Linked DNA regions of Xenopus tropicalis. The protein of the gene in region 3 interacts with the protein of the main gene of each other region in a biochemical or structural test. Links are inferred from orthologs where the notes say so. Each region holds a gene or a part of one and is shown on either strand. Other genes may lie near its edges. The genes, in order: cul2, smad4.1, cops5, mif, chuk, cul4a and cul3.

Evidence for each region.
Region 1: of the proteins of cops5 (region 3) and cul2, one has a biochemical effect on the other in vitro, tested with the Homo sapiens proteins (3 studies listed by BioGRID). The link is inferred for Xenopus tropicalis from reciprocal best matches to the Homo sapiens genes COPS5 and CUL2.
Region 2: the proteins of cops5 (region 3) and smad4.1 form a complex in vitro, tested with the Homo sapiens proteins (2 studies listed by BioGRID). The link is inferred for Xenopus tropicalis from reciprocal best matches to the Homo sapiens genes COPS5 and SMAD4.
Region 4: the proteins of cops5 (region 3) and mif form a complex in vitro, tested with the Homo sapiens proteins (2 studies listed by BioGRID). The link is inferred for Xenopus tropicalis from reciprocal best matches to the Homo sapiens genes COPS5 and MIF.
Region 5: of the proteins of cops5 (region 3) and chuk, one has a biochemical effect on the other in vitro, tested with the Homo sapiens proteins (2 studies listed by BioGRID). The link is inferred for Xenopus tropicalis from reciprocal best matches to the Homo sapiens genes COPS5 and CHUK.
Region 6: of the proteins of cops5 (region 3) and cul4a, one has a biochemical effect on the other in vitro, tested with the Homo sapiens proteins (5 studies listed by BioGRID, with this or other methods). The link is inferred for Xenopus tropicalis from reciprocal best matches to the Homo sapiens genes COPS5 and CUL4A.
Region 7: of the proteins of cops5 (region 3) and cul3, one has a biochemical effect on the other in vitro, tested with the Homo sapiens proteins (2 studies listed by BioGRID). The link is inferred for Xenopus tropicalis from reciprocal best matches to the Homo sapiens genes COPS5 and CUL3.

The regions. Positions count from the first base shown.
Region 1 is NC_030682.2:21,665,161-21,668,660, reverse strand, and holds part of cul2 (cullin-2), read right to left. Parts: intron 3,104-3,500; coding exon 2,993-3,103; intron 1,979-2,992; coding exon 1,816-1,978; intron 1,044-1,815; coding exon 919-1,043; intron 69-918; coding exon 1-68.
Region 2 is NC_030677.2:205,056,866-205,060,812, reverse strand, and holds the start of smad4.1 (mothers against decapentaplegic homolog 4), read right to left. Parts: upstream 2,801-3,947; 5' UTR 2,638-2,800; intron 1-2,637. UniProt on the Homo sapiens protein: In muscle physiology, plays a central role in the balance between atrophy and hypertrophy. When recruited by MSTN, promotes atrophy response via phosphorylated SMAD2/4.
Region 3 is NC_030682.2:119,213,253-119,216,752, forward strand, and holds part of cops5 (COP9 signalosome complex subunit 5), read right to left. Parts: intron 2,375-3,500; coding exon 2,246-2,374; intron 2,168-2,245; coding exon 2,102-2,167; intron 1,569-2,101; coding exon 1,483-1,568; intron 1-1,482. UniProt on the Homo sapiens protein: Probable protease subunit of the COP9 signalosome complex (CSN), a complex involved in various cellular and developmental processes.
Region 4 is NC_030677.2:153,040,493-153,044,754, forward strand, and holds the start of mif (macrophage migration inhibitory factor), read right to left. Parts: upstream 2,801-4,262; 5' UTR 2,789-2,800; coding exon 2,681-2,788; intron 1,111-2,680; coding exon 938-1,110; intron 1-937.
Region 5 is NC_030683.2:110,575,717-110,579,216, forward strand, and holds part of chuk (inhibitor of nuclear factor kappa-B kinase subunit alpha), read right to left. Parts: intron 2,871-3,500; coding exon 2,741-2,870; intron 2,458-2,740; coding exon 2,263-2,457; intron 917-2,262; coding exon 814-916; intron 1-813.
Region 6 is NC_030678.2:116,032,484-116,036,733, reverse strand, and holds the start of cul4a (cullin-4A), read left to right. Parts: upstream 1-1,450; 5' UTR 1,451-1,469; intron 1,470-1,504; exon of another isoform or gene 1,505-1,600; intron 1,601-1,627; exon of another isoform or gene 1,628-1,735; intron 1,736-4,250. UniProt on the Homo sapiens protein: Core component of multiple cullin-RING-based E3 ubiquitin-protein ligase complexes which mediate the ubiquitination of target proteins. As a scaffold protein may contribute to catalysis through positioning of the substrate and the ubiquitin-conjugating enzyme.
Region 7 is NC_030681.2:123,779,709-123,784,005, reverse strand, and holds the start of cul3 (cullin-3), read right to left. Parts: upstream 2,801-4,297; 5' UTR 2,617-2,800; coding exon 2,551-2,616; intron 1-2,550. UniProt on the Homo sapiens protein: Core component of multiple cullin-RING-based BCR (BTB-CUL3-RBX1) E3 ubiquitin-protein ligase complexes which mediate the ubiquitination and subsequent proteasomal degradation of target proteins.

The DNA.
Region 1 (3,500 bases), about 98 Mb from region 3:
ACAGAGTTGACAAGCTGAACAAATTTACTGTGAACTTCTAAGACTGACTCCACAAATTGAGTTGGCATCTGAAAGATAAAAAGGGAACATTTATAAAAAAACACAAAGAGAACTACAAGAAAAAAAAAACTTAAAACATTTAAATGAATTATAAAAATACAAAAATTCATGAATGGCAACTACAAATGATCTGAGATTAGCACTGGCTAGTGTTCCCTGTACTTAGTGACATACTGACCCAAGGCCATTTGAAAAAGAGGGAACATTCATTGTGCACAGTTTGGAGCAATCACATTCTAATGGGAAATAGTCTTAATAATATACCATGTAATAAATAAAACCCAGCTGGCATGTAAAAGATTAAATAAAACTTCCCCATAATTCATTTCATTTCATGTTTCATCGGTATGAATTAGCCATTTTCTTTAAGTTTCTTTGTCAGGAAGCATGTGGCACTCTGTGGTGCTGGCCTTTTGTGTACTTGGGCATTTTCATTCTTATTGCTACTTAAAGATAAAGTACATAAACAGATATATTCCTTTAAAATCCAAACCCTTTTTTTTTTATTTGGACTATGGTATAATATGGCCAGATTAACTCTTTGTTTCGCATTAGTTTTTAAAATGATAATTTGGGGAATTTGGCCACATGTTCATATCTTTCAACTGTCTGATCCAATGATGAGTGTGGCAGATTTAAAGATGTCAGGCAGGGAAGTAATTTCCTCGTTTCCTTCCTTTTCCCTCTTTCAGGGAGCTCTGCATCTATGGTCTATGGCACACAGGGCGTTATGCCTGCCTGTACAAGTAGCAGCAAACAATTGGTGCAGGCTATAGCCCGTGGCTCTGCTCCTTCATATTTTATCCCTACTGCTCATTTAGTATTTATGCGGCTATCAAGGGCTTCATGGTTACTCACGTTTTCCTGAGAAAGATTACTAATAGCTCTAAGGCCTTCATCGTGGATATGGTTTTGGAGTTCCTGAATCATATGAGGTAAACCATTGGATACAGCACGGAGAAGAGTGTACATGTTGGCCATATCTGCAATGCCACAGAAAATAATGTGACACAAAGTGATAACTGTAACAATCACGAGTTAACATTTAAACAGTTTTTTAAACTAATTTTACTCTGTGGCATTGTTACACTAAAATACTAAAATATTTATAATCCCCTTAAATTAAAGCCCACTTTTCAACATTCAATATAGAGCACAATATATCTTGCCATTCAAGGAGGCTGCAGGACACAAGGAGTAAAGTAAATACAATAAGGTAAGTTTGAAAGAATTACAGGAAATTTTAAAATTTCCCGTTAGGACTAGGGCACCCCAGCTGTTTGATACAGGGACCTAAAAATTAAATAGCGTTAAATGGCACAGATTTAAATAGCGGATAAAAGATGAGCCCTGTAGAACACCATTATATTCTACAGAACTTATCTGCTATGTAATCTGAGCCTTTTGTTTCCTTTGAATAGCCTCCCTCATTGCTACAGAGATTATTTATAAAAAAAACTATATTAGTGTTTCTAAAGCAAAAATACCAGTGCAAGGCAAAAGTTAATTATAATCACTTTAAAACACAATTTTTTTGGAGTTACTGTTCTTTAAAAGAGAAGTATTAGCTTATCAACACTACCCCTGCTGAATAAAAGACTTTCCATTTCTGACCTAAGCTTAGCAACATCATAATAAGCCACTTTGATAATACAGTTCTCAACCAAAGCATATATTATGATGATGGCTAAAAGGCTGAGAAACTGAAAATGGTTTCACCTAAAACAAAAGAAAAAATAACTGCTCAGTGCTTACCGCTTCTCCTTTCTTGTCTGATGATATTGTGACATTCTGCGTGTAGAAACTGCAAGTGGTCTGCCACCATTCTCTGCTGGCATTCATGAATCACTTTATTATATGAACTGGGGTGTAAATACTTTCGACATCGAATCTCTTCATCTTTTAATCTACCTAAAATCTGCACGTAAATAATAAATAATAATGTGCAAGAAATCTTTAAAAACGTATTAAAAACAAGGTACGTGATTGCTTTAAAATTCATGTTTGGGTTCTGCAACTTAATCTGAGTCTCCTTAGAAAAAGCTGTTATAATGGGACAATGACACCTGTAAACTGATATCGCTCTTGTACTTGCTGCCCCTGGGATCAAGACCAACCCCTATAGTTTTCCCACTCCACTTAATAGAAGTTTAAATATTCCATAATTTCCCCTTTACACACAAAAAAAAAGGCTGCCCAATGTACTTAAAGGACCAGTACAGGTATGGGATGCATTACAAATTAGTACAAATTACGGAAAAAGCCATCTCCTATAGATTCCATCTTAATTAAATAATTCAAAATTTTAAAACTGAATTCCTTTTTCTCTGTACTTGATCCCAACTAAGATATAATTAATCTTTATTGGGGGCAAAACAATCCTATTGAATTTATTTAATGTTTAAACTAATTTTTAGCAGACTTAAAATATAGAGGTCCAAATCATATAAAGATATCCCAAGTTCTGAGCATTCTGGATAACAGGTCCTATACCTGTAACAGCAAAATATAAAAGGGCCATTTAGCCCTATTTCAACTTGAATGGATGCCCACATGGCTACACAGCTTTATTATATTATAAGCTATAGTAGTGCTTCTAAGACAAGCATACAACTTTTGCCAGTGCATGTAAACAGTATATTATTTTTTTAATTTTGCCCCACTCCATTAAATTATAACAACAAAACAGCAATTAACTTTTACATTCATACTGTGGCTTGAATAATAATAAACATCTGGTTGGCTGCTATGGTTTTCTGAGCAAAAGAATACTCTGACCAAATATTACATTGGTTTTAACTCCCATTACTGTTATGGTTTTGTTCCAGAGTTGTAAGGTAAACCTTACTAATTCCTATAAATTGTACAGAAAGCATAATATACATTTTAATAAATCCACAATAAAAATACATAGGCTGTTACTTTTCTTTACCTTTTCCATATATTGTGAGCAGTTTGACTCTTGTAATAAATTTGAAGCTTCTTGTTTATAATACTCCCCTGTTTCAGCCAGAAAAGGCAACTCAAATATTTCTTGATAAAACTGTAATAAAGCACAGTATGTTGATAACGCAAGAATGTTTTCAATAGGCGGTGTAAGCAGCGTCTTTATGGCCACAATTGCACACATCTACACAGGCAAGAGCAAAATGTAGCTGCCCCATTAGGCACACAGAAAATATCATTCACTTATACAAGCACAAGCAACATTGCATCATTGTGGAGGCACCAGATATAGTTCCACTTACACACATACAGCCACACAGTTACACAGGCAATACCAAAGCTTCACTTTCACCCAGTCACATGCACAACCACTGCATGATTCATCCGCCCACAATAAAAGCACTGTGTGGTATCATTGTGGTATTGTTTAAAAGATCCTATATGTATTGTCAGACCAATCTTAAAACTACAATTGCCAATTCCCCATCTGTTTA
Region 2 (3,947 bases), on a different chromosome or scaffold from region 3:
CAAGTGAGCAGATCTTACTGTGTATGGCCACCTTTAGTCCCTCCAGATCAAGTCAGCCCCATATTAGCCAATATATGGAGCCCTCCTGCTGGCCTGTCTGACTGATATCTGGATCCAGTTTGGCCACCACATTACAGAATCCTGTTGGGCCCCTATTATGGTTTGGTTGTTGGACTGGGAGCCAAAATGTTCAGACCATTACAGATTCTACGTGTATTCCCAGTAGGGCTGCACCGAATCCAGGATTCAGTTCGGGATTTGCTTTCGGCCGAATCCATGCTCCTGGACGAACCAAATTCAAAAAATCACGTGACTTTTTGTCACGTAAACACGGAAGTTGAAAATGTAACCCTTCCGTACCCTAATAAGCATTTGCTAATGAAGATGTAACCCTTCCGTAACCTAATTAGCAATCTGTTCGTTATTCAGCCAAATGGATTCGGTGCATCCCTAATTCCCAGCTTTACACTGATATGTGCTTGTCACTTAAATGCACAGATCTGTTCTGGTAGAAGGATACAGAACTGTGTAACCCCCCTAGGGCATAGAGTATGAATAATAGAGAAGAATTGCAGACACCAGGCGGAGATATCTTGCATACACCGGTACTAATATCAGTACAGCACGGAGGCTCAGAGCAATCTGCCAGCCCAGTATAGTGCTTGTGTATAATCCAATGATGGTAGATGGGATAGCGGCCCGCCGGCTGGCATGCTAAGAATGAGGCTGTATTTAATAATATGCCTTGATGGTGTCTCCTCAACGACTGTTAAAAGAAGCAGCTTGAGCCCCGGCGCTTAATCCGTGCATCAGATATAATGTTTCACAGAAGGGGGGGGAACTGGATCATGAATTTCAGCAAAGGAACATTGTGTACGGAATCAGAACCACCAATCACATCGCTTCATGCGCAGAGACATTAAGGTGCCTGCACGGCTTAACCCCCAGCTGCTCTGCTTTATGGTTGCACAATGCAGCCGCACCACCTGTGAGCCCAACATCCCCATCGATCTGCCAACTGACAATGGTTTGGTGTTCACCGACACAGTGACACTATATGTCTTTTTTTGCATTTGGCTCGATGTATATGGGCACAGAACCCCTCAGTGACTTCTAATATCCTTATCATTTACAGTAGGGGGTACATTATCCCTTATAATACATGAGTGATACTCAGAGTTCCCTGTATAACTCAGCCTGCAGCCTTGTGCCTTTATATGGGCACAGAGCCCCTCAGTGACTGCTCATATCCTTATCATTTACAGTAGGGGGTACATTATCCCTTATAATACATGAGTGATACTCAGAGTTCCCTGTATAACTCAGCCTGCAGCCTTGTGCCTTTATATGGGCACAGAACCCCTCAGTGACTGCTAATATCCTTATCATTTACAGTAGGGGGTACATTATCCCTTATAATACATGAGTGATACTCAGAGTTCCCTGTATAACTCAGCCTGCAGCCTTGTGCCTTTATATGGGCACAGAACCCCTCAGTGACTGCTAATATCCTTATCATTTACAGTAGGGGGTACATTATCCCTTATAATACATGAGTGATACTCAGAGTTCCCTGTATAACTCAGCCTGCAGCCTTGTGCCTTTATATGGGCACATAACCCCTCAGTGACTGCTAATATCCTTATCATTTACAGTAGGGGGTACATTATCCCTTATGATAATCTTTAATAACAATAATGTAGAAGAAGCCAGCAGATAGATCTGGAGGAAATCAACTTCTGCTACATTGTTGCAAGAGGCCTCATCCGCCAAATAAAACTACTCCTAGTTACAATCCAGTCTAACATTGGAACATATGACTAGTTGCTAGGCAGCAGCCCTATGCCATAAGAGCGTTGAAAGGAAGCAATGTTTCCTAGAGGCTTACTATTCTCTTTAAAGGGGAAGTAAACCTAAACCTGCCAGTCCCTTTCAGCCCACAGTGGCCTGGTTTATGGGCGGGGGGAGCTAGGCTCAGATATTCCTATAACCTCTCTCTGTGCCCCAGCTACCGAGTCCTACAGCAGTATTGTCCAGTAATCACTGGGGTAAGTGTTGGGGTTGTAGGTTCGATCCCAGTCAGGGCATTATATATATATATTTGTATATTCTCCCTGTGTCTCCTGTTCTACCCATTGGAAAGCATTAGGAGAGGCGGTTTGACCATCCCTACCTGCCACTGCCCATCCCTAGTAGCAATAAAATAACCCCATGGTTATTGGGAACCATTAGGGGTCAATAAACCCTCCTGTACATATCAGCCTCAGCCAGGGAGCTTACAATCAATCAAATCCCCAACCTCTAAGAGGTGAATTAGGAAACCACTATAAGGGTTTGGGCTTCTCTGTCTTTACTGAACTACAACTCCCATCATCCCCTGCAACAACAATAGCCGCACAGGATATGTGTAAGAGCTGACAAACCGTAACTCCCATAGGCCCCTATGGGAAAAGAGGAGCTTTAAAGGCGCCCGTAAGATAGGCAAGCGCCTCACCGCCTCCAGTGTTTGTGCCCCGGAGCCTCAGCCCGTCCCCTCCCTCTCCATGAGCGGCAAGGCAGCTAATCCCCGGGCGGCCTGGGAACTACACTCCCAGCCCAGGCCCGGAGCAACCCCTTCCTTCCCGCCTATTTCCTTACCGAATTCGAAGTGAAGAAAAGCTCCGTTTCTTCCGGCACCCCCCGCCCGCTCCACAGCGGCCCAGGCCGCGGACAACAAGAACCCCCAGATACGGGCCGCGCCTGCGTACCAGCAGCAACAGCAGCAGCGATCCAGCCTACATCCGGGCCACTGAGCAGGGGGTGGGCGGGGCCGGCATGGAGCGGGAAGGAGGAGGCGGGGAAGCGTGGAGAAAGGAAAAGGCTAGTTAGGGAAAGAGGCGTGGCTGTATTAGAACAGGGCGGAATTGCCAGTCTGTGGGCGGGGCCTTACTAGCGCAGTAGTGCTGCATTCTGGAAGAAGCCCTGCTTACTGGATTGCTTCTGCTAACGGGGCTGGTTACGCTCCCAGGCCTGCTGCTTGATTTTGGGAAAGCCTCTGCCTTTTATTTATATTATTAACCCTTTGCTTTAGTCTCACAGTGCCAGTACAGCAGCAGCCAATCCTAAACCAGCAGCCAGGGCCGTCAAAAGTAATCATGCGGCTTCAAGTATTAACCCTCCAGTCACCTGGGCCCCAAAGGTGATGAACCCTGTAAAATGGGGCCCTTAAAAAAACAAAAAGCTTCTATGTACATGGTACCTATATGGGGCCCCTGACTGCAGAGAATATAGCCCCTGTACATGGCACCTATATGGCCCCCTGACTGCAGAGAATATAGCCCCTGTACATGGCACCTATATGGGCCCCTGACTGCAGAGAATATAGCCCCTGTACATGGCACCTATATGGGCCCCTGACTGCAGAGAATATAGCCCCTGTACATGGCACCTATATGGGCCCCTGACTGCAGAGAATAAAGCCCCTGTACATGGCACCTATATGGCCCCCTGATTGCAGAGAATATAGCCCCTGTACATGGCACCTATATGGGCCCCTGACTGCAGAGAATATAGCCCCTGTACATGGCACCTATATGGGCCCCCTGACTGCAGAGAATATAGCCCCTGTACATGGCACCTATATGGCCCCCTGACTGCAGAGAATATAGCCCCTGTACATGGCACCTATATGGGCCCCTGACTGCAGAGAATATAGCCCCTGTACATGGCACCTATATGGGCCCCCTGACTGCAGAGAATATAGCCCCTGTACATGGCACCTATATGGCCCCCTGACTGCAGAGAATATAGCCCCTGTACATGGCACCTATATGGGCCCCTGACTGCAGAGAATATAGCCCCTGTACATGGCACCTATATGGGCCCCTGACTGCAGAGAATATAGCCCCTGTACATGGCACCTATATGGGCCCCCTGACTGCAGAGAATATAGCCCCTGTACATGGCAC
Region 3 (3,500 bases):
TACAGTAAGCAATGAGCTGTTTATAAACTTAATTATATAAACCAGATATGAACCTGGAGTTTACTTATAGTTCAAGCAAGGACCTAGAAGTTGTTTAAGAATCTTTTTCAAAAGATTGGTATGTCCAAGCAAACAGAAATCATATTCTTAAAGGTATACTTTCATGATTTTTATGGTATACTTTTTATTTCTAAATTACACTGTTTACAAATAATTCACTCAACCATTTAAAATTCTATTCTTGAACCAACAAATTTATTTTATTTTCTTAGTTGTAATATTGGTGTGTAGGCACCATCTCAGTGCATTGTGCCCGAGTCTGAGCTTTCAAAAGGAGCCAGCACTACACATTAGAACTGCTTTCAGGTAACCTATTGTTTCTCCTACTCCCATCCCAATCCAAGCTGGATTTATTACTATTGAGTGCTATTCTGATACCTACTGAGAGCTGCTATCTTGCTCCCTTCCCATTGTTCTGCTGACTGGCTGCTGGGGAGGGTGATATCACTCCAACTTGCAGCGCAGCAGCAAAGTGTGACTGAAGTTTATCAGCGCACAGGTCACATGGCTGTGTCTGGCTGGGAAATGAAGAATATGGCTAGTCCCAAGTGAAATTTCAAAATTAAATATAAATAAAAATCTGTTTGTGCATTTGAAAACGGATATCAATTCAGGATTCTCCTGAAGAAGCTCTATTAACTGATGCATTTTGAAAAAAAAAACCATGTTTTCCTATGACAGTATTCCTTGTGGTTTAGGAAAATTGTATGACAATCTATAATATGGCTAGTGCAACACGGAGCTGTTTCCTGGCCTGCGTATAAACACAGGCCTACAAACAGATGCTCTGCTGGTCTCTGCTCACCCCTCTGTCTGCATTGACAGGCACTTTTGTAGCCTAGGTGCAGACACACAGAGCAGATTTCAGTGCAAAAATGCGAGTATGCATTTTAAAATCCACTCTGTGCATCTGTACCCAGCTAACACAGTGCATATGAGTACAAAGGGAGAAGCAAGCAGAGGCCAATGGATGGAATGTTTTTAAACTGCCCCAGGTGGAGTAACATTTAGGAAGGTACCCAACACAAGACAAATGTTAGATCATAGCTACCTTCCAATAAAAAAATGACGAGCTTAACTAAAGACATTTAAATCTAGGGTCACAGGAGAGGAATTAAAAATTAACACAGTTTTTAGGTGCAATACCAATAATGTTACATACATCTAAGATACTAATGCATGTTTGGCAGCTATAAGGAGAGTGAAATAAAATCTAAGATACTGTAAAGCATACATTAATATATATACTCATGCAAAGATTCACAGCCTGTAATTGAACTGGATATACCATAAAATTGCTCTGTGCCCTGCCTATAAGCCATACTATGAAGCTTAGGACTCTTTTTTAAGAGTCTTTTTCTTAGCCTTGTAATTCCTTTTTAATATATTAGTTTCTTATGTTTCCACTACAAAATTACTTACTGCTTACAATGCACCCCAAAATCTTCTATTTTGTTCAAAGGAATCGTCTGGTACTCTGACGGACCCTCATCTGGAGGTTTATAGCCCTACAACAAGAAGGTCATCCATCAGAATTGCAAAACAAGGAGTTGATTTACTTTACTTTTTCCTGTTTATTTTTCACATCAGCTAAATGTTAAGTAAATATGTGTTTGAGTGAGTTGTAGCTCACCAGGACAAATATATGGCACAACCAAAAAAGGAAGTGTCATGATTTTGTAGCTACTTTCATATAGTGACAAGTATTGATTTTGTATCTTTTATGCCAAAATGTACTGGTGTCATTAAACCAGGGAAGGGAGTATGTTCATTTGCCATAAAGTTTTAGAAAGACATGTAAAACAAGGTGAAGGACCCTATGAATGTACTGAATTGAGTGTTTGCTACATGGACTATATATCCAGCAGTGAGGTTAGCCTGGAGTGGAACAGTGCATATTTTCATTGTTTGTGTGATCTGTCTCATATTTGGCTAAAAGCAAGTAGATGTAAGCCATAATAATCTTACCCTTGTTATATGCCAAGTAATGATTAAATTACAATTAAAAGTAATATGAAACTTAAATATCATTAACATTCACCTTTGGATATGTTCTGAATGCACCAAGATTAACTTTGCCAGCAGATATTGTTCTTGTTGGATCAATCTGAAGAAATGAAAATTGGAATAAAAAAACTTGTTGTATCAATAATCTGCAATGACGTTATAGTAATACTGTACTCACCACTACTGCAACAAAGGGTTCTTGAAACTGCTGATTAAGCATCTGGGTGCTGACATCTATGCCAGAAAGCCAACAGCCATAGCCAGGGTGACTGTGGTACCAGCCTATTGCATTTTCAAGTCTTCCAACCTGTGAAGAAAAAAAACAAGGATTGGCTGCCAAATTCTGTCATTTTATTTCAGGTAACACCAAAAAATTAAAACATCTTTTTATTTTTTTTTACTTTTAAAGTTTGTAAAGTATTTGTTGATATAGGACTTAAATATTTACAAGTTGTGAAGGCATTTGTCCGTTTATCTTTTTGAGTAAGAGCTAAACCGATTGCATTCTACAGAGTTTATCTGCTATATAGCCTGCAATTTTTTACTTTTACAGCTTGAATGGCTGCCCCCATGATCACACAGCAAGCAAATACACAGTTTTTACAAATGAAGGCAGCCGTACATTATATTTTAATTAGTTAAAAAAATGTAATTTGTTGGTATTACTGTTCCTTTAACACAATTTATAATACACTATATATATATATATATATATATATATATTATATATATATATATATATACACACAAACCAAGAGGGTTCAGCACTCCTTAGCAAGTGGCTAATTGACCCAGGTGCTACCGATTCAAGCAATTTCAATAGAGTCCACAGGTATAGCGGTGCACACTGGGAATCCTTTAAAAGTTAGCTTTTATTAAACTATATAAAACTTAATACATGGAGAAATAGGTCAACGTTTCGGCCCCCATCTTGGGCCTTTGTCAAGACCTTAAACATGTAACAACCATCAAAGCTATAAATAGATAAAAGCACAAACCCACACCCAATGGCACAAGTCATTCCAGTCATGTGTCAAAATTAAAAGAAAAGAAACCCTGTACCAAGGAGAAAACAATATCAAACACCATAAGGAGAATTATAATGAGCATACCACTGGCCATAAACTCCCATTGGGAGTTTATGGCCAGTGGTATGCTCATTATAATTATATTATCATTATATTATATATATATATCGAACCAAGGGTGGCACACCGCTTCAATCCTTGTCCCAGGTGCACGGTAAAAGAGTTTAGATATTGAAAAAAAGACCAGCAACACCGGATCTATTGCAAACAATCAATTATATATTGAAAAATACATATATAGAATATATATATATAATATATTCTATGTTTTTTTCCGTGCACCTGGGTAGAAATTGTTTGAATGCGGGGCATCTTTAAAGGCACAGATATTCCCTACTAGAGGGC
Region 4 (4,262 bases), on a different chromosome or scaffold from region 3:
AACCACTAATAAATTTGAAAAGAATGTATATTAGATAGCTGCTTATTATTTTTTAATTATGTTAAATTTAATTTTTGGGTTCGCATGCCCTTTAACTCCAGTTTTAGATGCTTTTTTTTTTTTTTACTACCCTGTACCAAAATGAGTTTTCGTTACATCAAAAAGAATTTGATGGCAACACGAGCAAAGTGTTGTTACAATTGCCATAAAACTGCCAGAAACTTCTGCCAGTGAGCTTGGTTAAATGCTTACTCTAATTGCACTGCCACTCGTTACATGCATTAAATGCAAAACAAACAGCAAATGGCACACAAACGGTTAAACATATCTACTGGACCTATTAACAGCTTGTGTTTTCTAGATATTCTCTGAGCAGAACAGAGAATGTGTGCTCACTTGGGCAACTCAATGCTCTTGCCCATATTTGGCCAGTTTTTTTCCCCAAGTGCTATTACTACTGGTAGTATTTTTCATGTATTTTGGATGCAGGTTTCACTGCACCTAATTGCATGACTTAACTAATTTCATTTTTTCTGCCTGGTTGTGCCTAGGAGCATTCCAAATATACAAAAATAAAAAAATTTGCTCTAATAGACTAGTTGCAAAAATAAAAATATCTGATTGGTTGCAGAGCTACTTGCTTTAGGCATAAGGGAGTTTCTCAATAGAGAATTCATACTGATCCTGTTGTTTGCAGCTAGGGTATACAGTATATGGTATATCTGCCGCTACAGAAGCGTTTGGGGATACATTCCAATTACCTGAATATGATTTACCAGTACCAGCACTGTCACATGCTTGCCAATTTATTGAATGGTGTGCAGCAGAGGCATTTTCTAGCATTTCTCAGAAAGTGGAGAAAAGGTGTGCATGGAAAACAAACAAGGAATAATAGACCTGAATAAGAGGCAACATGGCTAGTGGTCAGTGTGCTTACCTGTTAGCAGGAATGTTCATCTGTTTTGTCAGATAATCACAGAGCAGCTTACTGTAGCTTTTGTTCTGTGGCCCCCCTATCTTTCCAATGCTGCTGAGGCTGCACACAGCACAAGGATCAGTCGAATCACCAAAGCTCATCATCTGATCAGGCATAATATGAATTGCAATGTACTGCAGAGGAGACAATAGGTTAGCTATGATGATAGCATTCTGGTAAAAAGCACCATTGCAAGCACTTCATCATTATATCCCCAAAGCCATGGATCTTGTTCTCTGCTTTAGGATGAACAACTTGCAGAGGAGAAACATGAGGGTCACAGGGTCCTGTGGGATAGCAGGTGTATTAAAGGGGACACACAGCTATTTATGCATGCAGTGATAACAAAAAAAAAAAAAAAAAACATTACAACTGCTTTCAATCTGGGCTAAAATGAATCAATGCCTTTAAAAATATCTTTATTGGAGCATCCTAAGTTCCCTATCTTACAAACGAATGATGGGTGTGTCATAATGGTCCTTCCCCAGCAGCACAATAGGATAGGGGAAGCCAATAACAGCTCTGCCTTTACATATATAAAGTTAAACCACAGTCCCCTGTGGGGTCTGCTTAGCTGCTGATTGGTTAGCATCCAACAGTGCAAAGTGCTTGAAGTCACAGGATCTCCTGTGCAGTGTGGGACAGCAGCTAACAGCGGGTTGGTGCTAGTTAGGGTTTTGGGTTAAAGGGGACATGTCACTAACACATAAGCTGTATAATAACATTCCTCTACAAATAAAACCCAAATACCTGTTATTAATGTCCTTAAAAATCCAAGCTGTCAATCATATAATGCCAGCCCCCCTCCCCCCCCTCATGCCTCAGGCACAACAATTACTATTAACATTGTCTTTGCATGAGCTTTATAAATTTACCTTAAACCTATTTGCCCAATGCTGTTACATTCCCTATCAGATCCCCCATGTTCCTGTATAAGGGGGCTGCCATATTTGTGCAGCAGTAGCACATTAGCATTAGAAGCTATAACTGACAGGCTGAGAAGGGGCAGTCAGGTTGGCAAAACAGTCAGGTTTAGGAAGTTTATGTAACAATTACTTACAAAAGCAAACCTGTCGGTGAAAAATGATCAACTTGACCTATAGGGAACTTTTTACATACATTAATATTTTGAAAAGTAGTAGTGGTAAGACCAATTAAAACGTTGCTTAGAATTGGCTATTCTATAACATACTAACATTTTACTTAAAAGTGAATCACCTCTTTAATAACAGTGTCCACAAAATGGCACCAGCCTGCTTACTGTGAATTCCAAGACTAAAGGAAACAATATCTGAATTATTTATGTAGTGTAAGTAAAGTTTTTTCTCTGAACTAACATGATATTAAAGAATTTTACATTATTTCTTAAGGTGACAGCTTAGTTCAAAAGCACATTTTATAGGTTCATTCCTTGTGCATATAACCAGTACATGTTCTTGGTGCCCCCTTTAATTAATGGTGGTTTGGCCCGACTCATGGGGAGGAGGAAGCGCCACCTGTACCCTGTAAACCTAAACAGTGCACTGACTACTTTTTATTATAAAATACACTGATATTCTATCTGCTTGGACCACAAATCACAGTATCCTCCATGAATGTGCACATTGTAGTTCAGCTAAAGCTTGAGGCCCGATCATTGGACATCATCTCCCCCCGTGTTTTAGCGGTGGAATGACTCGCCGCACCCACTCCCTCCCCATGCACCTCAGCTGGTTTGCCCGTAGCCTTGGCCAGCAGTTTGGTGAGATCGGACAGCAGGGTATCGGGCATGGAGTCCCGGCAGACGTTAGTGCAGACGGTGAACGTAGGCATGATGAAGCAGCTAACTGAAGGAAGACGCAAAGATGGAGAACGGATCGAACACTGACAAGGGACGGAACACGTGGGGTACCAGTCCCGCCCTTTTCCAGGTCAACCAATCGGCGTGCTTCTAACGGCACCTTAAAGCAGTGAGGTAGACGCTTGGTTTGTCACTCACATTTCCTGCATTTGTTCTGGTGAGGTGTTGGTACAAGTGTTTAGTTATGCCGCCTGCATAGTCGGGCATTGCGCCTCTCTGCAGCTTGGTACGCACGCACAGGATCTTACGGGACTAACGAGCCCTTTCTGGCAGCGCTGTCATTCAATTCCATAGTTACGTGTAGACAGGCTGCTATAACTGGGGGGGGGTGAGATTTTTGGATCGTAGTAGGGGCCCCCTCACCTCGGATAGATTGGGGACTTAAGAAGGGAGGGCGGGAGATGTGGTGCCGGCGTTTTCCCCTACACATCCCTCCCTGTGCTTGTTGGGCACTGATGTTAAGCCCCGGTAAAGCTGCATGGGAATTGGATGGGCTGGAGGGGAAGTTTAAACTTCATCCCTCCAATCCTTGCAACTCACATTTTATTCTTTTTCAGAATAGTCCTGGGATTAATGTAGGAGCATGTTTCTTACATGAGAAAATTCATATGTTCTATTTTCACTTGGGGCATCATGTCACACATATACACACACATATATATATATATATATATATATATATATACACACACATATTTGTAGAAAGACTATTATTGGCTATTTGAAATTGATCTAAATGTGTCCTTTCCAAAAATATGTGGTTTTTCTGGGGGTCTTTTTACAGTAAGGGGGTCTTACAACCAGGCCTGGACTGGGATTCAAAATAGGCCCTGACATTTTTTAAGACACATGCCCAAACAGCCCCCACCAGCCCACTTAATAGTAACTGTCTATGGCATCTTACAGTAGCCCCTCCGGCAACTGCCACAATCCACAGGTTGCCAGTCTGGGCCTGTATTTTGGCATCAGAAAGGATTTTCCCCATGTGAGGCTTAACTGGCAGCTGCCCTGGAACCATTTGTACCATGGAATGAGTTCCATGTTAATTCAGCCTAACTAACTAGGAAGTTTTATGTAACTAAGCAGCTTTCTTTATGCTACTGTTGTCTATTCCATACTCCCAAATCTAATGTGCCAATCCCTCTATATCCTCTTAGTGCCATTTAAAGCACAATCAGATCTTTTTTCTCCTCCTTACTCCTGTGTGCCAGTCTAAGTGCCATTCCCTTTCTCTGTATATTCCATTCTCTCCTGACTTTTGAGTACAAGTCCCAGAGCTTTTACCCCGTTCCCCATGTGTCATTCTCTTTAAAGAAGAAGGAAAGGCTAAGTCACTTGGGGGTGCCAAAATGTTAGGCACCCCCAAGTGACTTAGATCGCTTACCTTGTAAGCCCCTGTATGGAGAAAACAGCACCAGCCTGGGGTAGCAGCGAGCGCTTCCTCCG
Region 5 (3,500 bases), on a different chromosome or scaffold from region 3:
TAAAATGGAAAATCTCAATTCAAAAAGAGGTAAGTTTCCAATTTACATTTATAAACTATTTCTAACATGAGTTCAACATGACTTCAATCAATAGGGTTTGCCTCAGATATGTTTTGTCTAATGTTTTAATCATGAAAAATGTTTTTTATTTCTTGAGCTAAACTACATCAGACATAACTTTAGCAATGATTGTCTTTCCACCACAGGTAGGAAATGCAATATAATGTCCTTTACTAAAGTAAACACCCAGGCAGAGTGCTTGTTTTTACCTAGGAAAACTCTATATGCTTTTTTCATCAGGGCAACCTAATCTTTCTACATCTGCCTGAATGGTGTAATTTCACTTCTGTACATTAGAAGGCTTAATGATTTAGCCTACATTTTATTAGCATTTTTATTGATGTTAAATAATAAAAATCACTAATGTTAATTACCCCATGAAGACAAAAGCAGTAAAGTGGTGTCCATGTGTCTGCTGTCATCTAAGGCCCCTAGCCTTATCACACCCCAGGGGCCAATTGTTCCCCACCACAGCTTGATGTCTCGGGGCTGGGGAGCAACAGGGGGATAACAGGAAGTGCTGCAGGCCGTAGAATCTACATTCTGTGTCATATATCCACAGAACATGGCATTTAAGGGTTATATACATTTGTATTCCTTTTATTTTTTCACATCACTGGAACTTGTACACTGTTTAGGTAACAAGATTACCCGGTATCTAAACACTCAATCAAAATTTCTGTTCCTGTGGATGGCCTTCATGAATGTCAGTCTATGTGTAAATGTAGCATCTCTGCCGATATCTGTACTTACCTATGTAATTAAGGCATTCCGAGAGGCTTCTTGACTGAAATGGTCCTTCATAAACAGTCTTGCTTTTATCAAACAAATAAACCATATAGCTATCCCATCCTTTCTGCAGGGAAAGACAAAAGGGATTATATAGTTTGAGATAAAACACTTATGATTAGTTGAATCATCTAGGCTAGGGCAAGAACTGTATTTACTTACCAGTGTACAACAACTACTATTTGGTTCTCCTCTAATTCTTAAAATGCATGTTTCACATTTACACATTTTACATTTTATTAACCAAGAAAAAAAAAGCAAAAAGCCCTAGAAAAATAGCAGTAGTCCTCTTTAGGCCCTCTTAGCAAACATTATTTCTGGGCTCTCCTTCCATCACTTGTGGGACCCAGAATCCCCCTGTGCACAAACACCTGGCTTTTCAGGTATGGGCTGATCCTCCCTTATCAGGGCCGGCCAGAGCCATGGGGTTTGTTCCCTAATTGTTATTTTTAGAAATTTCATAAAAACCACAAAGTTTAGCATAGCTAAAAATACAAGCCTTGAAATTTGTATATACATGTTACTTTTTGCCATCTCTACATGTGAAATAGTTGTTTAATTCTATGCATATTGGTCATCAAACTGGTCCAAAGACCCCTGACATTCATATTCAGGATGTTTACCTTGGCATAATATGACGCGTGGGAGAAATATTAACTTTTTTGTGGCCTTACCTGTGGCTTTAAAGCTATTTTGCAACAGCTGAAATGGCATGATTGTTCACATGATTTTGTGGCCTCTACTCATATCTTTCACAGTGTTTTATTTGACTAAACAAAAAAAGCCAAAAATGTACATATTTTAATTGGGGGGGGGTGCTATGAAGGTTATTTACTATGTGCAAGGCAGGGTGCAAAAACTGACACAATCACTCATACTTTGTTTACTTTGCAACCTGCCCTATATAAAGAATATTTGCTCAGGGTCTCCGTTTTTTGATTTGGCCCCATGAATACAGCGCTATCTGTGGTTGGCAGCATTCTTGTTCATTCTTGCAGCTGGGTGGAGGGACGTAGAAGTGCAAATAAAATGTGAAAATCTACTGGTACTGATAGGGTTAAAGGAATCTTGCTGTCCTGACCAATAGAAATATTTCATTATTTTGATCATTTGTATCAAAAACATAGATGGCTTTAGAAAACCAACCTGGAAACATTTCCGAAGAAGCCTTAAATTGTTTTTCCCCCCTCCCTCACATTTTAAGCATATGATGTAATGCATTTGCTCTGATGTGAAGCACAGATCATAGAATAAACAAAAAAAACATAAAATCTGTGGCACTGGCAGTCAGGCACTTGATGGACAGAGCTGCATATTATATGATCTCAGGCTGGTAAGCGTTTAATTTATAACTTTAATTTAAAACCTAGCGTTTGATTTGGTCATTCTGATATTCTTCCATAAAAACCTTACCACTCCATCTATAACACATTGGGATGCTGGTTTTCTTGGATCAAGGGATACCCCCATCTCTAGAAGTAACTCTTGATTACATGTGCTAATGCCAGTCTCTGTCTCAATGCGAGACTGCAGGGTGTGTAGGCTCTCCTCAGGTTGCAGGTGAAAAGAATGAATCTTGGCAGATGTCATATTCAAAATGTGAACTATCTAAGAAACAGGAAGGAAAAATAGGGTTATATACACTATAATAATAACATATTTAATGCTACAAAGGAGCTGCTCCATTGGCCTTGGTAACCTTTTTTATATCAGTTTCAACTAGGTGGGCCTCCAAGTGTCACAGAACAACAGTTACGTTCTTGTTATTATCCAACAGCACAAGGATCCCCAACCTTTTTACTTGTGAGCCACACTCAAATGTAAAAAGTGTTGATGAGCAACACAAGCATGAATCACATATTTTTCAAAGAACTTCTGATATTGTTTTTACCTTCAAGTTGAGGATCTGGTCCATTAGCACAAAACATTGTGGACGACCGCAGTCCATTCCTCCTCCCCGTTGTATAGGGTCCCAGTTTAACAAAAGCTGCAACCATGTCTCTATCTTGTCTACAATTATGCTGAGGGGAGAAAAAAAGACAAGCCCTTCAACACGTTTGCCCACCTGAAACCTGCTTAACTGCAAGATGAACAAAAGGAAGATGAAAAAACCTCTATAATTTGCCTCAGGGGCAATTTCTTCCTGATGTCAAGTAAACAATTTAATTTACTTACATTTCAGTAACTTTGTATATTATCACTTTCTAAAAAGGCATCCAACCCTTTTTTGAAACTACTGAATGTATCTGCCAGCATATTAGCTCTGGTAGAGAATTCCACAAAACCCTTTCTGCATCTTAAAGGACAACTTAAGCATTTTCCTGCAGCAGCAACTAATGAGAAACTTGCAAATACATCCTGTGCAATACTAAATACACAAAAAGTCTACACCATTATTATTTTTGTGCTTCCTCCAATGTGGTGTACATGATTATATGTACTAAGCTCTGTACAGGAGGCATATACATTGGAGAAACAGTGCAAAAAACTATGCACAAGGATGAACCATCACTGACATAAGATCAAGACCAAAATATGTGATAAACCAGGGAGGCAACCATGGTCTTAAAGGAACAGTAATACCAAAAAATTAAAGTGTTTTAAAGTAATGGAAATATAATGTACTGTGGCCATGCACTGGTAAAACTGGG
Region 6 (4,250 bases), on a different chromosome or scaffold from region 3:
AAATCCAGTCTTGTAGGATAAGCATCATCTTCCAACAATTATTTATTTTATTTTTTTTAACTGGGTTAACATTTACACTGTTTCCAGTTAATACAGACACACTGTAGTTTGACAAAAGGGTGTTCAATCAGAATATTACAACTACAATGAGTTAAAAGTGACAGCATCAAACACTGAGAAAAAATTCTATACTACTGTTTAAAAAGGGTAGTTTGCCTTAGAAACCGTTTTTCCATTAATTTGTTTTCACGCACATCGTCAACAATTAGATTGTTTAACTTTTTGTAAGATTTAAAGGGGTGGTTAACCTTTAAGGTAACTTTTAGTATGTTATTGAATGGCCAATTCTAAGCAACCTTTCAATTTGTCTTCAATATTTATAGGTTTTTTTTTAATTATTTGCGGTTTTCTTCTAACCTTTTGTAGCTTTCAGAAAACTATTGCCCTGTGAGATTACAATTTTGTTATTATTACTGAATAGGTCCTCTCCTATTCATATACCAGCCTCTCATTCAAACCACTCCCTGGTTGCTAAGGTAATTTGGACTCTAGAAACCAGATAGCTGCTAAAACCAAACTCAATTCAAAACTGAACCACCCCTTTAATTTTAAATGTAAATCTTTTTATATAGTATTTTACTGTAGTGCCTCAAAATCAAGATGCAGGCTCTCTACAGTGTTACAATTTGCTACATTTGTTGCTTCATTTCTAAGAAGACTAAGAAGAATAAGATGGAATGTATCAACTGTTAAAAAGGTTGCATAAATACTATATGCATTGCCATGAGCAAAATGTGTCGGCAATGAATTTTAATGTAATGAATGCCAGCACTCTAGGATTAGGGAGAGAATTGGGGAAGAGTCCAGACTAAGACCATAGTAGTAACTTTTTTTTGTGAAATTGGAATTTTCTGTAGAGTGGTAGTCCTAATACAAACTCAAAAGTTTAAACCAGAAGTGAGTGTAAAGAATAGAAAGGAGTAGCAAATACATATTTCGATAACAATTATTTAAAAAAACTTTTTTTTCAATTTAAATGTATTGGAAAGTTGTGTAGGATTACATTTTCTCACATTACACAAAATGACAGTTTTGGACTGGTCATCCCCTTTGCAGAACTTCATCCTTACTGTGAAGACTACTGTCCTAAAGCCTAAAGCATTAAACACTGACCAAGAAACACGTGAGTTTCCATTCAAGCGCGCAATACAACCTGCCCAGAGATGGTGTCATGTACTTACCCTGAAAATAAAAGCAAAACATTCATATCTTAACAACAAATTAAGTAAGAAAATTGCATTTCGCTTTCCTACACAATTGTGCTCCTGCAAAGACAAAATTACTCTCGCTTAACTCCCCCGGAAACCGGCTATTGTGCCCCCTGACCCGGAAGTGACTGTACATATTATCAGCGGCTAATGCCGGTGATAGTTCCAGCCGCTATATGGAACGCCATTTTAATTACACAGGTAACCTCATAAATGTATGTTAACATTTCACTCACTCTGTGGCATATCTCTCAATTTCCATTCTGACAGCAGCTTTCTCAGGTTGTTTCATAGTGGGCGGGTCCTTGATGTAAACCGCAGCTAGACACGCCCCTTCGTGACATCATGTTCTCTTTTCCACTTCTTGGTCACGTGGCTGTGACATCACATTTGCACTCAATATGTTTTTTTTAAGACTTCGGGATCACCTTTAAACTGCTCCTTTTCCGGAAGTCGAGCGTTTGTTTGTAAGTCATTGCTGCAAAGAAAATCAGCGGCAGCTAAAGAGTCCTGGGGGATATGTTGTGTAACATTACTAGCTGCTATTTTGATTGTAATTGTGGGTGATTGGGCCGGCCTTGCCCCCCTCCCTGCTACATCTATGGGCCCCAGGCGGCTGCCCCAGCCGTCTCTATGTGTTTATTTGTGTTTAACAACTCTGTAAGCGCTAGCATTCGTAGTTGCAGGACCTTGGTGCCTTTAATGGCCGCTGACCTCTGAAATTTAACAGTTTCTGAAAAGCCTCACATTGTTGATCACTTGTGCAGCAGTACTTGGCTTTGGCGTTGAGGGCTAGGTGATCACCTAAAGAAGGAAGTCATGGGATCTGTCCAACCTGAGGCACCTCTGCTCGTTTTAATGGGGATATCCTCATATAAATTGTTTTTTTCCCTAATAATGCCATGTAAAATATACTTTCCAGTTTACATTAACATTTCAAGTTGTTTTAAATGTATGTGCTATTTAATGCAATATCTGTGTGTCTCTTTCTGTTGGCTGATATTGACTCCTGAGCCAGTGTAGCAGGTCAGTTTTCTAAGTCTATTAAAAGACATGTCAACCCAAAATAAATGTTGCCTAATAAAATAAAACATAATTCTAAGCAACCTTGTAATATGCATTCATAACAAATTTGTAATGGTTTTTAAGTTATTTGTAGATATTATTGCTATTGTCCTTTTCTATTCACTGCCCAGGTGGCTGTGGCTTTTGAAACAATATAACATAATCCAGCAGATAGACAGACCTGTCTTGCTGAAGGAGACTGGCTTTTCAGCATTGTTTTTAAAAGGCATAGCCACCAGTTAAGCAAATTCTGCCTTCAGTTGTACTTACAAATAACTTTTAAAGCACCAAAAACATTTTAATAAATTCATATTGGTTGCTTAGAACTATGTTTTTTTTTATTAGCTTTAATCCGCTGGTTTCTGCTAGATAGTTTCAGCAGAAGTGCCATGGTTGATGGGCACAGAGTAGTGACAGGCAGACCAGTGCACCAAAACAGTTAAGAGCAGAAGCGCCTATATCTGCTATGTGTATGTTAAACAGGGTGCTTGAGATTAAGAGCAGTGACAGGTGGAGATGGGTATTTTGACTGTGACTGTTCTCCTTCAGAGAGTAACAGTGGCGAAAATGCCCTATGTCCTATTACTTTCTCCTGAGTCTTCTGGCAGGCTGCAAGGTCTGTCACCGTTTTATGTACATTCAGAATGGAGCCATACACGTAGCAATTCTAAACTTTCCTGCGACCATCGGTCGTTTCGTTGATCCACCATACATGCATCGAATGAGGTTTCGTACAATATCATCTGTGTGTGTATGGCCAGCTTTACATTCAGTTCTGCCAGGAGGGGATGGACCATTGGACTGCAGCTATTCTGAGGGCACCAATGATCAAACACCTCTGTGCCATTAGTCTTAAAGGACATGGAAAGGCAAAGTCACTTAGGGGTGCCAAAATGTTAGGCACCTCCAAGTGACTTTAATCGCCTACCTTTTACCCCGGTCTGGTGCCCCTGTTGGGAGAGAATAGCACCAGCCCGGGGTAGCTGCATCGCTTCCTCCTTCCTGATCGCTTGCGCGCACATGCACAGAAGAGTGAAAAAGCTGAACTTTAACAAAGAAGTCGACTTTTCACTCTACCGCGCATGCGCCTACCGCATAGTCGCAGCTAAAAGTAGCAGGAAGGAGGAAGCGCATCACTCCACGTACCCCGGGCTGATGCTGTTTTCTCCTAACAGGGGCACCAGCCCGGGGTACAAGGTAAGCGATTAAAGTCACTTGGGGGTGTCTAACATTTTGGCACCCCCAAGTGACTTTGTCTTTCCTTGTCCTTTAATGTTGAACAGCAGCAGGGGAGCAGCACATAGCACATCCTTTAACTGTGATGGTGGTCTTTAATATCTCCTGTAATTATAGATACTTCTCAAGGGACAGTGGATATAGTTAATAACAAGCATCAGGTCTTTGAACCAATAAACACACTTTAGGGGCAGATTTATCAAAATGTGAAATTAGAAGTTTACCACAGAAAAATTCACCCACTTTCCATTCATTACTTTTGGGATTTTTAGAAGCGTATTTATCAAATAATGTACTTTTCCCATTGATAAATACACTTATTAGTGTTGTTGAAAAAACCTGCAGAGTGCTGTGAACTAAGCATTACTGGCACTCAGGCATTGAAATCATTTTTAAGGCTGTGCTCCTCTTTTTCCATTACATAGAGATTAGATGTAGATTTGGAGCTTTTTGTAGGCTTCCTTATAGTAATGTAGTTATTACCTTTTGTTTTTGTACAGCTGTGAAAAGGGACACATTAAGTGGAGTGGATGGGAGGACAGGCATATTGGAGCAGTAAAGTGTGTTGGCATGAAGATCAGCATCTTTATTATAGTTCTGTGACACATGGGGAGATTAGTCGCCGTGCGACATATCTTCCTTGTCGTGGGTGACTAATCTAAAAAAATGTAAATTGTAACT
Region 7 (4,297 bases), on a different chromosome or scaffold from region 3:
AGGAAGAATGCAATTTGTTGGCTTCACCAAGATATAACCTGCACAGAATCTGGAGTTTCCTGGATAAGGTTCTTCCATAATTTGGATCACCATACCTTTGGTCTGCTACAAAGTCATACCAAAAATAATTTAAATGTTAAATAAACATTTAAATAAACAGTAAATGAACGTTCAGGCAACAGGTAATTGGCTGGCTTCACCAAGATATAGATTTAGAATGGAAACTCTCTTGCTTGCTTAGCTCAGTGAGACTGCCTGCCAACTGTGTGTATGAATCACTAATTGTAGAACTGCCAGTACAATGTTCTTTTAAGCATGCATACAGGTGCACTGCCTAGTTTAGTGTGCACTGGCATTCCCATATCTTCATGAGCAGATCAGGATTAAATACCTTTCCTTCATCTAACAACCAATTTACAACCTTGCTGCTATAAGAGCAGCTCCAAATCTGAAATCAATATAAACTCTCAGGTCTCTGCACACCAAGTTAACACTGGAAGCATGTACTCAGAATGTTATGCCTTTATACCTGTGTCCCCAGGTGACATCTGAGGGACAGATTGGGCTGGGAAGGCCATTACAAAAATGCCCCAAGGAGTTCACTGCCTGACTATCCAGGTAAAGGGTCCACAGCGAGTGAGGCAATAGGTGCCAAATGCATGGACTGCAGTTTCCCACCATCAGCATTGTTTTGGCTTCTGATTAGAATGACTGTAAAGCGGCATTATACATAACTGTGCATATCTTTATGTGTAGGGATATTCACCAGACTGGATAATACTCCACTCTCTTTGGCGAAACCATAGATCAGTGACCAACAACAAATGGCAGGAAATCACTACTGCATTCCATACAAATCTTCTAACCTGAATGTCTATTTACTGACTGCTAATGTTATGGTGACAGCCAGTGTATCCACCAAGTGCAGCTACACCAAGCAAAGAACAGCCTGAAAATGTAGGCTTTTGCATTTCTCAGTCTGATTTACACTCCGTAGCTACACTGCCCATCAGTGCAGCTACAAGGAGCTGTGGAAACACTGTCAGAGAACAGTGGATGATCTGCTGGGATAATGCATATATATTTTACATGCTTAGAATATACATATTCATCCAAGCAATTTTTGGTTTTAAGAAGAACATAACAGGGAAATAAATGACTAACTTGTAATATGCTGTTACCTGGGATGTACAATACTTGTTTATATACTGCATAAGTCCTGAACTAAGTACACATTATTAAAGTGGAAATATGCCCAAAAAAAAAACAAACAGCTTTTTGTATAACTATATTTTGAGGCAACTTTCCAATATTAAATTTTTTTCTGCGTTTGTAAAGTATTTTCTATTTCAGTTTATATTCTTTCCTCTGCTGGACACCTGAAATAATTCAACAGAAAGTAGTTGATTAAAAGACCTGGAAAACAGACTTCTGCTACATTGTTCAAGAGTCAGAACTAGGCTACACAAAGGACTTAACAAATACTACTTTTAACCAAGATTAAAAAAAGCTTAGGGTGAAAACACAATGAGTTACTAAGTAGCAGCTACTTGTCATGGCTAGTAAATGCCAGAAAATACTCTGCCATAGACAATACTGAGAATTGCCTCTGCTAAACCACACGTAGAGACATGTATCGGTAAATAATCAGCATTGTCTATTGTTGTAGCCGTGACAAGTAACAGCTATTAGCTCCATGTGTCTTCACCCTTATAAACAACAGAAAACTATAAGGGTGAAGACACACAGACCTACTAGTAGCAGCCACTTGTCATGGCTACAGAAACAGACAATGCTGATCATTTACATTTACATGTATTAGCCATGACTAGTAGCTGCTACTAAGTTGCTCCATGTGTCTTCACCCTAATGGCAAGTTTCTAACAATGACTTCTTCATTTATTAATATGTTTTGGGGTGGAACTGCTTTTTATTAACTCAAGTCTATATATCTTTTGGCAAGCGGCCTCATGCATTTGTACAGGTCAGGGCAACTAATGCAGCCCACCTGCTGAAGCACAACTCCAGCTGGCATTGATATGCTCCATGTATTGGCTATAGGATGGCTACTTGGGTATCCCTGTCTAGTTTATTTAAGTGGGGGCTCATGATACACATCTATATGGTAAACTGCAATGGGGCTCGCTGTCAGATGATACTGGGAGTAGTAGTTTAGTATAAATAATGTGTGAATTTGGGCATCCCATACTCATGGCCATACAGATGTCAGGCAGCTAGATGAAATGATCCAGTCACAGCTAGCACAGCTGTACAGAGGCAATGGGCTTTCCATGCCATACATACAGCTCACAGAGCCTTTATTGGAAGCACATTGCAGCCAATGTTTACAATGCAGTGCTACCTGTGCACAAACACTAGCAGCTCTGCACTTGGCTCGGAGAGGATGCTGGGATATCCGGTAGAAGAGGAGCTACAGGATGATAGGTTGGATGTCACAGCTAGTGACACTTATAGCCCGCCTCCTGTATTTACACTGCCATCCATATGTGGCCCCCGGGGATTTGCCCACAAGTATCCTATGAGTCTCACCGGGAAGGCTCGGATCCTCATCTTGGTATCCTTCCGGCTGCCGGTGCTTTTCCCTAGGTTCGACATGTTGGCGGCTGTTCGCTCACACTCGGCCCCGGGGCCCCTCCTTGTCTCCCCCCGGCGGGTGTAGGTGTGAGGAGGCCCCGGGCCCGGCCTGTCAGCGACCCGGCGGGAGCTCCTTTACGGCAGTCTGGTCTCCCTTCAATGCGGCCCCCGGGGCTGCAGGGGGGTCTAAAACTATACGAACGCCCTAACACCCAGCGCTGACTAAACTCCTCCGCGATGGCGGACAAACATCCCTTTCCCAGCAAGGCCGGCGAGGGGAGGAGCCTGGGAATGGGGTGTGTGTCGCGAGAGTTCAAACAAGCCCCGCCCTTCCATACCCAGCCCCGCCCCTTCCATTCATTTCCTCCCACCCCCGGTCGGAGCGCTGTCACTAAGCCGCAGCCCTACCTCGTCTCAATAAACTTTATTACATCGCGCATACATTGCTGCGCAGGCTCCGGCGACAGCGACGTAATCCGTGGAACGTTGACAAGTGACGTCATGTGACGCTCTGAGCGCAGTTCGTACGTGGAGGCTGACGCGTTCCGTATATATACAAAACGCCTGTCGTCACTTATGCTTCTTTAGGTGGTAATGCGTATATAGACACTAATGTGTACCGTCTGGAACCCGGGAACCCTAGCCATACAACGAATTTGTCACACCTACCGTAGGTGTATGGATAGGGTTACTAAGTAGCTTCAAGTAAACATGCAATATTAAAGAAATAGATTGATTTTGACTTAATTAACGTTAGTTTGGCTAGACTCATGTTAAGATGCCCACTCTCCCAAGAAACAGAAATTCCAAAACATTGTATAAAAGCATTTCCAATATAATGTACTGTTGCCCTGCACTGGTACAACTGGTGTGTTTGCCCCAGAAACACTGCTATAGTTTATATAAGGAATGCAGCTGTGTAGCCATGGGGGCAGCCATTCAAAGCAGAAAAGGCACAGGTTACTTAGCAGATAACAGATAAACCCCCATTATATTCTACACAGCTTATCTGCTATGTAACCGGTGCGTTTTCTTTCTTTTATCAGCTTGAACGTCTGCCCCCGTGGTTACACAGCAGCTTATTTATATAAACTATAGTAGTGTTACTGTAGCAAACACCAGTTTTACAACTGCAGGGCAACAGTACATTATATTTATGTTAAAAAACTTTTAATTTTTTTGGTGTTACTGTTCCTTTAATATAATAATACTCATAATATAATAATTTGTCACTATAGTGCACCATCATGAAAATAATTAAGGCCATCCAGTTTTTGTGGGACCTTGTTATTAAGCTAAGGGGGGCAGCCTAAAGACCAGAGAGTAAAATCCGGGGTGAGTGTTTAATTGATCTGGAGCTTTAGCAGGGTGATTATTAACCCAATGCTTGTACATTTCTGTTATATAACCTTGTTATGGTGTTTGGAAGCCAAGCCTGAAGGCAAGTAAGAGTGAGATGTGGGTTTAATGTTTATTTGCCTCTTTTAATAGACTTGTAACTAAAACAGGGAAGCTGTTAGACCATGAAGAACTGCCTGCTGGTTGTGGAACTGTATACAATGGAAATGTCTCTTTAAAGGCTTGGGGGGCATAAGATATTTAGCACACCTTTCTCCTGTGTAAATGACTGAAGTCATTGAGGTGAGAGTTTAATCAACTCTTTTCTGGCATTTCCTGCGTTGCACTCCAAACAGTAAATTGA